2 linked regions of the Schizosaccharomyces pombe genome follow. The protein of the gene in region 1 interacts with the protein of each later gene in a pairwise test. Each region holds a gene or a part of one and is shown in the gene's direction. Other genes may lie near its edges. The genes, in order: hsf1 and inv2.

Region 1 (5,204 bases):
CAACTGACTATCGAGCTTTGGTAGCATCTGCAACAAAAACTAAGGGTCGTCGGCGAAAAAAGCTCCTTCCTTCTCAAAGAGGTGGAAAGAAAAAGTCCAAGGGTTCTGCTCTTATGGTTGATATTGAAGCTGCGGATATTAATAAAACGGAAGAGAATATCAATAATCAATTTCAAGAAGCTTCCGTCACTGCTGATAATATGAATACTTGGGATAATACGCCCTCTGTTGAAAATGTTGAATCTGCGAATGAGAATGTTAATAATCACAATGCTGATGAACAAATGGATGAAAAAATAAAGTCTTTGGTTGAAGGGAATAGTGCTTATGAAATTGAAAAAGGAGCTCAAGAGCCTGACCCTATGTCTATTGATATGACCGATAAGAGCGAGACTGTGTCTGGTTTCAAACATGATGTTGACGTTTATGATACAGCTGAAAATGAAGGGAATAACACATTACTGCAAATCAAAGAATCCGTTCATGAGAAAACGCCGACACAGGACGAGCCTATGGATATTAGCCAGGATACCATAAAGCAGGAGGATTACTATGAACCAAAGCTTGAACAACATTCTTCTTCCAAGCGTAACAGTATTTCAACTAGGAAGGAGGAGGATGCAGCTTCGGCTCTAGCGAACCTGTCTGCCGTTGGTCGTTCCATATCCGCCGTTGATGAGTCTGCTCACCAAGGGCACTTGCCTGGTTGGGATGAAAAAGAAGAAGCGTTAATATTTTCGTTGGCCCAAGGTATGAATCCAATGAAAATGCCTCTTACTCCAAGAAGAGCCTCCACTGGTCCTCGGCCACGCCCTACTTTCCAATTGACCGAAATTGATTCTCCAAATCGCCGTCGAGCTAGTGATTGCATTACACCGTCAATATCAAAGATACTGAAAATGGTGTCTGAAGATGCAAAAAGTCAACGCATAGACGAGTTATCAGTCGAGGATCAAGAGCATACAACACATTCATCTCATACGACATCAGACATAAACGCATTTCCGAATAGTCAATCATTTCCACGAGCATCAATTCATACATTAGCAGCATTGGGCGAAGACATTGTTGAACGCCAGTCCAAAAACGATAAAATTGTATGAGTTGTGACGTTTAGTGTTATTTAATGGCGTTATTTACCATTTGTTGTTATATGAAGGGGTTTTGTTTTCTAATTCGCAAATTGGTACCTCCTTACGTGATGCCTTACTCGACTTATCTCGAATTCTACTTTAATCCTTTTTTTTTTTTCTTTTGTATATATTTTCTATTACTTTTAATGTGAGAGTTCTATATGTGTCGGGTTATGATGGTGAGTTTTTATTAAAAAAGTAAAAACTCTATAATAACTTGACTGCCGATCGTTTACGAAATCTATCAAGAGACGAATTTTTTCAATCAATAAATCTTCATGTGAAATCTAGTTATTAGTCTCGGCGACGGAAACGCTTAATTAGTAGCGTTAGTAAGTTAATCTGTAATTGACACATAACAATTTATTCGATTTAATAATTTTTTGCATTTTTTGTTGCATGCAAAACCGACACCAAAAATAAATACCGAGTGGCTAAATGACCTCACTAAACAAATTAGCGATATACCCCGGTGAATGATATATGGTGTATTGTAATCATTCGGTAGTGGATTATTGCAAAATATAACTTGACATCAACCAACGACACCCGCTTCAAATTTCGGTGAGAGCTTGTTAAAGCTACTGAGAAAGTATACATTATTTAAGAATATCTTGATTGAACCTTGTGAAATACGAACTGCATATTCTTCCCTGGTGGTTGAGAAGAAGGTACTGAGAATTCCTTTAAATCAGTAACGGACATATATATTTTTGTTAAATTAACGGCACCCATAATAAATTGATTTTTAATGATTCAGACTGCATCGACAATTTCAAGCAATGGCGGAACGAATCAGGGAATGGAGTCCAGCAGCGCAAATTCACCGGAGATGAATGGGACACAAAATTCGATGTCCGTAGGGATGTCGGGCTCAGGTTCTTCACAAAATAGGAAAATCACACAGTTTAGTAATAAACTGTACAATATGGTGAACGACTCGTCGACAGATTCCTTAATTCGATGGAGCGACCGGGGTGATTCGTTTTTGGTTATAGGGCATGAAGATTTTGCTAAGCTGGTTCTTCCACGGTATTTCAAGCACAATAATTTTTCTAGTTTTGTTCGGCAATTAAACAGTAAGTGTCTTTAAAAAGTGAAGGTGTAACAAAAAGTCGAAGACAAGCTTTTACACAATTAATTTTTTTTATTATGAATGTGTCCCCCTACTTGTCTGCATTTATTCGAAGATATATCGGGCTTTGGAAAACTTTTGGATCAGTAAGCTTAACAACGACTATCTCTTTCGATTGTTCTTCCGTTCCACTTTTCGACGATATGAAAAATATTGCAATACTTCGGAATTATTGATTATTTATCTAATTAGTCTTTGTCAAGCCCTTTTCTATCTTTTCTTGTCCTTCGCATCTCATTTTATTACATTCATTTTTTTTTTTTTTTGGTTTACTAACTTTTTACAGTGTACGGCTTTCATAAAGTCCCTCATATACAGCAAGGTGTTTTACAATCCGATAGTCCCAACGAGCTTCTCGAGTTTGCAAATCCAAACTTTCAACGTGACCAACCTGAATTACTATGCCTAGTAACGCGAAAAAAGGCCGGTAGCCAACCCGTTGAAGAATCAAATACCAGTTTAGACATGTCTACGATATCCTCTGAGCTACAGAATATTCGCATCCAGCAGATGAATTTGTCGAACGAACTCAGTAGGATCCAAGTCGATAACGCAGCTCTTTGGCAGGAAAATATGGAAAATCGCGAGAGACAACGTCGCCATCAAGAGACGATTGATAAGATCCTTCGTTTTCTTGCCAGTGTATATTTGGATGGTAAACAGAAGCCACCTAGCAAAGTTATGCCCAAAAGTCGTCGGCTCTTATTAGAAGCTAAATATCCTACGGTTTCACCTACGAATGAACCGTCTGCGCATTCAAGGCCTTCACCTCAAGGTACTACTGCTAATTCTAGTAGTGCTAGTATCTCCTCTTTACACAATACGACTCCTGATGGAGAGGGCAAATACAGATCCGTTCAAAATGGACGAGCTTTAAATTATGTTTCTTCTTTTAATTCGGATTCGCATTCACCGAAGGATTATATTTCTCAAAGCTATACGAATGAGCCAGGACTTAAAAAGGAATCTGCCGATTCCTTTAACAATTCGATTGACTCATACATTTCTCCCAATCAATCACCTAATACGGATGTACCCTCATTAAATCGAGATGATACCACTGATCCTAAAGTCGTGAACACTGGTGATATTATCAATATGTTAGATGATGCCAATAGTATTGAAGGATCGAATATGAATTCCCTGTCACCTCTTCTTTTCGACTATCCCAATTCACTTTATCCGGTTAACAACACTTCTTCTGAACAGCACCATAACTCTTACAGAGGATCGGTGTCAAATTCCCAACCTTCTGGAAATTTGTCGGAATCGACTAATTTGCAACCTGTTCAACCAGTTGATTATATGTCAAATTCGAATCCGTCCTACGGTTCCTATAATGCAGAAGATCAACTTACAAACTTCCACCCAGGCTATGCCATGGATCAAAAAAGAATTTCTAAGTTATCAGATGGAATTACGAAGCAGGATCAGAATATACAAGCGTTGGCGGATATTTTAGGTATCCCGCTGGGTGACGGAAAGATTGATGATGCTGGGTTTTCTGCTAATTCACCCACCAACTTGAACTTGCCTGTATCATCTGATCTTGACAGCGTATTAAACATTCCTCCAAATGAGGATGTTTTCCCGGACTCAAATCCCGTTTTTGATGAATTTACAAATATTTCGAATCTAACGTCACCCATTGAAGCATCCAACGGGAACACGTTTGGTTCGAATCCCGTTTCTTTGCCTAATCAGCAGAAATCAGTTAATCCATCTTTAATGACAGTGTCCTCCCCTAGACAAGTAAGAAAGAAGAGGAAATCAAGCATTGGTGCATAAAAATGGGTGGGGCTTTCTTTTGATTTTACCATTTTTACAGCCTTCAGATGTACGTTGACGGATGGATAGACATTACGATTTTTTAGAAAAGGGCAGAACGTTACTGAAGCTGTTAATTCGGGGATTTGCTTAACGATTTGTGTGCATGAGTTTATGGAGTATTTTTATTTTCATTTAGTTTTATATAATTCAAACAGTTTCTCTTTTTTCTTTCCATCTAGAATTTTCAAGCTAATGTTTATACGGTGTACGACACATACATCTTTATGATGCCATTATATTTAAATTGGTAAGTCCTTTTATGCTAAGAAGGTTATTAGTACTTTCAATTGCAAAAGGATTCGATAATCCGACGAACTAGTTGCGTTGGTTTTAATGTTAATTTATGAATTTCTTGAATGTCATTAAAATAATTTATAAATGCATGGTATATAACGAACACTTTGCATTATTCTCATGTACTTTCATCTCGTATTCGCATAAACTAGATTGTAGCGGGGGTAAAATTAATGGAAGTATAATAAGCAGTTTTGTAGATTAAAGCTTGTAAACTAGGGGATTTGGATGGCGCTTTTAGTGTCGGAATCGTACGCATTTTGCCAGGCATTTGGTCGTGTATTAAATTTTCCCTTAATACTAAAGATGTCGCTGTATTCTTCATCTTTTTCGTCCCCATCCTCTTCAGTGAAAGTGACATCTTCGTCGGTAGGAGTGCTTTTGTTTTTCAATAAAACATTAAATATAAAGGCTAGAACAAACACGCCCATTTCTATAATGAAGAGAAGGCCATAATCGACTGCTGCCAGTACATCCCAACGATCAAAGGGAAGCGAAAGGAAGGAAAACAGAGATCCCGACGAATCAATGGCCAAAAATAGATAGGAAATGCCAGTTACAGCGCGAGCCCTAAAGATACTGATATATTGAGGTAAGAACCCAATGTTCACCAAGACAGTAGCTAAGACGCCCATAAATACGACAGGCCATTCAACATGTCTGCGAATACCCAATTTGATTGTCAAAATAAGCATCGCTTGCAGACCTCCTGAAAATAGCATAAAGGAAATAACAACAAATAACGCTTTTCGCAACGGCCATTTGGAACCGTAATATAAACATTGGAAAAAAGTAGTGAAAGCAAGTGCTTG
Region 2 (5,013 bases), 1.7 Mb from region 1:
TTACGAGTCAACAAATTTGTTTAAGTAGTGTCATGTGAAGTTGCTATCGCATGTATCAATTAACAAAAGCTGAGCGCCTTTCATTGCAATCGTTGGACAATCTGACTTCCACCAAACAATTATATCGTGTGAGACAGAATTCGTCATCACCTTTGTTCCAGTTTATTTCCCGATTCTATGAAGGCCTGCAGATTTGCACGTGTTCAGGCACCTTCCTTTCGATGTTTACCTTTTGCGTCAATATGACAAAAGGGGTACAGTTTCTCTTGATCCGTTGCCAAGGATGTGTTTACCCCGGGGCTTTGTCGCAACAAACGAGAACAGTCCAGCAGCCAGGTTTTTCGATAACCTTCTGTCGTGCCGATAAATTACGATGCGCAGTCGCTAAATTCGACATACAGAAGCACAGGGCACGTTTACGCAGTGCTACGAAATTTTACTGTGGGAGCAGTCCTTTTTCTACCATACGACGTTCCGCAACCTTTCCAGTGCCAACCACCACGATATACTCACATTTTCGAACGTTTGGTAAAAATGTCTACTACTTCTCGTGAAGATGCTGTTTATTTAGCCAAACTTGCTGAGCAAGCCGAGCGCTATGAAGGTATGTGCTTTTATAAGGTTTAGAGACGCGTAGAGCAGAGATATATTTGGTGTTATTTCTGCAAGAACAAAATTACACACATCCAAGGTTCTATCGGCGGAAGCTTTTGAGTAAGCGGGCTTCCTGTAAAACATCGATTGCATTTATTTTTGACATAGTTGTGATCAGAGGCTTAGTTGGTAGAATGTTTGTGTTTGTGTGTTGTATGGTGGTTGTCAAATGAACTGTGCATTGGCTATGGTGATGTTGAAAAGGTGTTTTAGTATTTCAACTTGTTTCCTAACTTTATTTCTAATTGTTTTTACTCCGAGAAGAAATTTTTTTGTTCATACAGACATACGGAAAATACATCATGCTGCGCATCTCGAAAGTCGAAATCCTTATGTACTTATCACTAATATATCCAGGCATGGTTGAAAACATGAAAAGCGTTGCCTCCACTGATCAAGAATTGACCGTCGAAGAGCGTAACTTGCTCTCTGTTGCTTATAAGAATGTAATTGGAGCTCGCCGGGCGTCTTGGCGTATCGTTTCCTCCATCGAGCAAAAGGAGGAGAGCAAAGGCAATACTGCTCAAGTTGAATTAATTAAGGAATATCGTCAAAAGATTGAACAAGAACTTGACACTATTTGCCAAGATATCTTGACCGTTCTTGAGAAGCACCTTATCCCTAATGCTGCCTCTGCCGAATCCAAGGTTTTCTACTACAAGATGAAGGGTGACTACTATCGTTACCTTGCTGAGTTTGCCGTTGGTGAGAAGCGCCAACACTCCGCTGATCAATCTCTTGAAGGTTACAAGGCCGCTTCTGAAATTGCTACCGCCGAACTTGCACCTACTCATCCTATCCGCTTAGGTCTTGCTCTTAATTTCTCCGTTTTCTACTATGAGATCTTGAACTCCCCCGACCGTGCTTGCTACTTAGCCAAGCAAGCCTTTGATGAAGCTATCTCCGAGTTGGACAGCCTTTCCGAGGAATCCTACAAAGATTCTACTTTAATCATGCAATTGTTGCGTGACAACCTTACCTTATGGACTTCTGATGCTGAATACAGTGCCGCCGCTGCTGGTGGTAACACCGAGGGAGCTCAAGAAAACGCTCCTTCCAATGCTCCAGAAGGCGAAGCTGAGCCCAAGGCGGACGCATAGATAGCTCGTTGCTCATGATTGATGCCATACTTTCACTACTATGAACCAATTTTAAAAAATTTATTTGTCTAAGAGTTCTTTTTCGTTTAGATCTTGTGTACTACACGATGGAATAGTCTCATTACATTCTCGTATATTTTCTTCTAATTTTTTTTTCTTTTTGTCTTTCTTTAAATTTCTTTTTTTTTTACAGTCGTAGTATATGTGTGTATTTGGTAGCTGCTGTAAAAAATACAGTAGTTGGACGACATTTTAATTTCGAGTACACAACCCGTAATGATTTGCTTGGCTAAGTGGGTGTTGAGTTAATCAAGCAATAGTCTAGATAGATGTGAGTTTCAAACTGAAGAGTTGGTAGATTGAGAATGTTTAAGCCTATCGGATTGAATTTGAGCTTTTTGACTGATTTGCACCGAATTGCTTAATATTCCTTGCATACGACCGATGTACCACTTTTTACACAAAGCTTAAAAATTTGTATGTTCTAGTGATACTCAAACATTATTAAATATAAAAGCTTTAAGTTTGCATATAAAACGCACAGTAAACATTTGAATCGATGCCTGTGAGACCATGCATACATTTCACGCCTCCAGAAGGATTTATGAATGATCCCAATGGTCTGGTTTACAGTAATGGAAAATGGCATTTGTTTTTTCAATGGAATCCAACAGGAAACCAAGCCGGTAATCAACATTGGGGCCATGCAGTGAGTAAAAACCTGTATAAATGGAAATTACTACCTACCGCCCTTGCACCTGGAGACGATCATGGATTAATGTTTAGCGGAAGCGCAGTGATCGATAAAACCAACTCATCAGGCTTTTTTGAAAGTGGATTTTTTTCGAGAAAGTCGGTTGACCCTGAAGAAAGAATTGTGTTGATTTATACAACGCATTATGATAATCGTGAAACTCAAAACATTGCCTACTCATTGGATGGAGGTATCACATTTATCAAATACAAAAAGAATCCCATCCTCGACATCAAGGAATCGCAGTTCCGCGACCCAAAAGTGTTTTGGCATGAAGAAAGTAGAGCATGGATCATGGTTGTAGTGTTAGCTCAAAAATACAAAGTTCTGTTTTACCATTCCCTAAACCTTCGCGATTGGGTAAAACTTTCGGAATTTGGTTCTGCAGGCGTTTTAGGATACCAATACGAATGCCCTGACTTTGTTCGTCTCCCTATCGAGGGTACCGACGAGTTTCGATGGGTACTGATTGTTTCCATTAATCCTGGTTCTTCGATCAATGGGGGTAGCATGGTTCAATATTTTATTGGAGATTTTGATGGTCAAACCTTCACTCCAATTGATAGCGCGTCCAGAATTTTGGATTGCGGTCACGATTGCTATGCCACTCAAACGTTTGGTAATGCACCCGATGGAAGAGTCATTTCCATCTCTTGGGCAAGTAACTGGAACTATACGAACGATGTTCCTATGCGTATGAAACATCGAGGTATGTTTACTATTCCTCGAGAACTTACTCTTTGCTACACCCATCTCAATCAAGAAACGCGTGGTCTTGTGCTACGTCAACGTCCAGTTAATCTTCACCATCTTTACTATCCAGATTCTCTACCAGCTCCACTTTTGTTAAACCGTGTCTGTGAATTTCCTACTGTCTGGACTAGTGCCACTGTATTCTACCTCGCCGTTTCCATTCCGAAAAGTATTGTATTAGAATCCCCTATGGAGTTTTTATGCTTGACATGGTCTACCACGCCAGATGTTGAGACCTCTAAGGAGTATTTTGAACTTGGATACCGATTCCACGACGGTGCCGTCTACGTCGAAAGGGGTGTATGCTCGTCTAGTTGGAAATATCCTTTATATCCTGAACGGTGTACGTCTTCTGTTCCTCCCTCTTCTTACGAAGATAATTATATATTGGAAATTGAAGCTGTAGTAGATCACTCCATTATTGAAGTTTATTTGCAAGGAGGAATAATGTGCTTAACAAACGCCTACTATTTTAAGGGAGATGAACCATTGCAGTATTACTACCTTCGTGTCCCGACTGGAGCTTCTTTAGCTAAATCAGGCATGCAACCATTATTAAACAACAGACCGCATTCCTAGGTTCCAAATGAATCAGGCAATACGAAATCGATACAGTTTCTTCCGTCAGCGTTTTCTCTTATTTTCTACTGTGTATTGATGAAAATCCAAGTATGTTATGAATACACGTGGCTAGTAAATTCCGAAAATTACTCGGGATTTTCGATACCCATCTTCCAAACTATTTCTCATCTAAATGGATAAGATATAGTTTCCAAAAATCCACACGTTATCCACTATTGTTCGTTGTTTATTTCTGTTTTTGTTTTTGTTACAATTTGATTCCGTTCCATTTCTTTACAGTTGTCGTTATTCTGCGTCGATTCCGACGCCAAGTTTTTAAACACGACTGGAGATGTATATACCAAATATTTATTTTTAACAGCTCTATGTTTGTTAGTCTGACTTGTAAATTACTATAAAAAAAAGAAACATTTTATTACGAATTGCTCCTATGCTTTCCCATTCTTGAGTAAAAAGTTCCCAATTTCAATTCTATCCTCCGTTGACAAGGTGAAAAAGAAAAATTGATGAACTGAAGAAAACAGATTTAGTTAGTCTAAAAACATATTTTTAAATATGATTGCTGTCGTATTTACAGTATAACTTAATACCCTAATCAATAAAGGCATATAACACCATAAGTAACACATAGCATGAGTTCAACGTACCAATAACCATACTTTCCATGATCGCAGACCCTGATCAATTAATGCAAAAAGTATGCAAGAAGTTGCGGAAATATAGTTGATTAACATCTCTAGGCCGCCAAAAAGGCCCAAGGAACTGGTGGCTTTGCGCTTTTTGGAGGAGGAAACAAATACGATGAAGCTTCAGAATTATTCTTAGACGCTGCTAATGGTTACAGACTGCAAAAGCAAGGTAATGATTTTGATTTACTTTTCAATTACTAACGTGTGTAGGATCTGCTGCAGGTTATGCTTTTGAAAAGGCTGCTGAGATGCAATTGAAAACGGATGATAAGGATGACGCTGCAAGTACTTATGTGGAAGCTTTTAAATCTTATCGACGCGAAAAGCCTTCAGAAGCAGCTCGTGTACTACAAATTGCCATCGAGTTGTTTACAAGACGTGGTAACTTCCGCCGTGCTGCTAATTACAAAATGGACTTGGGAGACATTTTTGAGCAAGAGCTCCAAGACACAAAGGCTGCCCTGGGAGCTTATGAAGATGC

What was found.
Region 2: the proteins of hsf1 (region 1) and inv2 interact in a two-hybrid assay, tested with the Schizosaccharomyces pombe proteins (one large-scale study listed by BioGRID).

The regions. Positions count from the first base shown.
Region 1 is NC_003424.3:5,057,591-5,062,794, forward strand, and holds hsf1 (DNA-binding transcription factor Hsf1), read left to right. Parts: upstream 1-1,664; 5' UTR 1,665-1,884; coding exon 1,885-2,212; exon of another isoform or gene 2,213-2,223; intron 2,224-2,368; exon of another isoform or gene 2,369-2,554; coding exon 2,555-4,056; 3' UTR 4,057-4,466; downstream 4,467-5,204. Other genes in the region: Set3 complex SANT/Myb domain subunit Snt1, read left to right, coding at 1-1,103; SPOM_SPAC2E12.03C (vacuolar basic amino acid transmembrane transporter), read right to left, coding at 4,608-5,204. UniProt on the Schizosaccharomyces pombe protein: DNA-binding protein that specifically binds heat shock promoter elements (HSE) and activates transcription. Also required for growth at normal temperatures.
Region 2 is NC_003424.3:3,383,734-3,388,746, forward strand, and holds inv2 (beta-fructofuranosidase), read left to right. Parts: upstream 1-2,205; 5' UTR 2,206-2,313; coding exon 2,314-3,840; 3' UTR 3,841-4,486; downstream 4,487-5,013. Other genes in the region: 14-3-3 protein Rad24, read left to right, coding at 535-604, 1,012-1,754; sec17 (alpha SNAP), read left to right, coding at 4,508-4,540, 4,584-4,701, 4,743-5,013.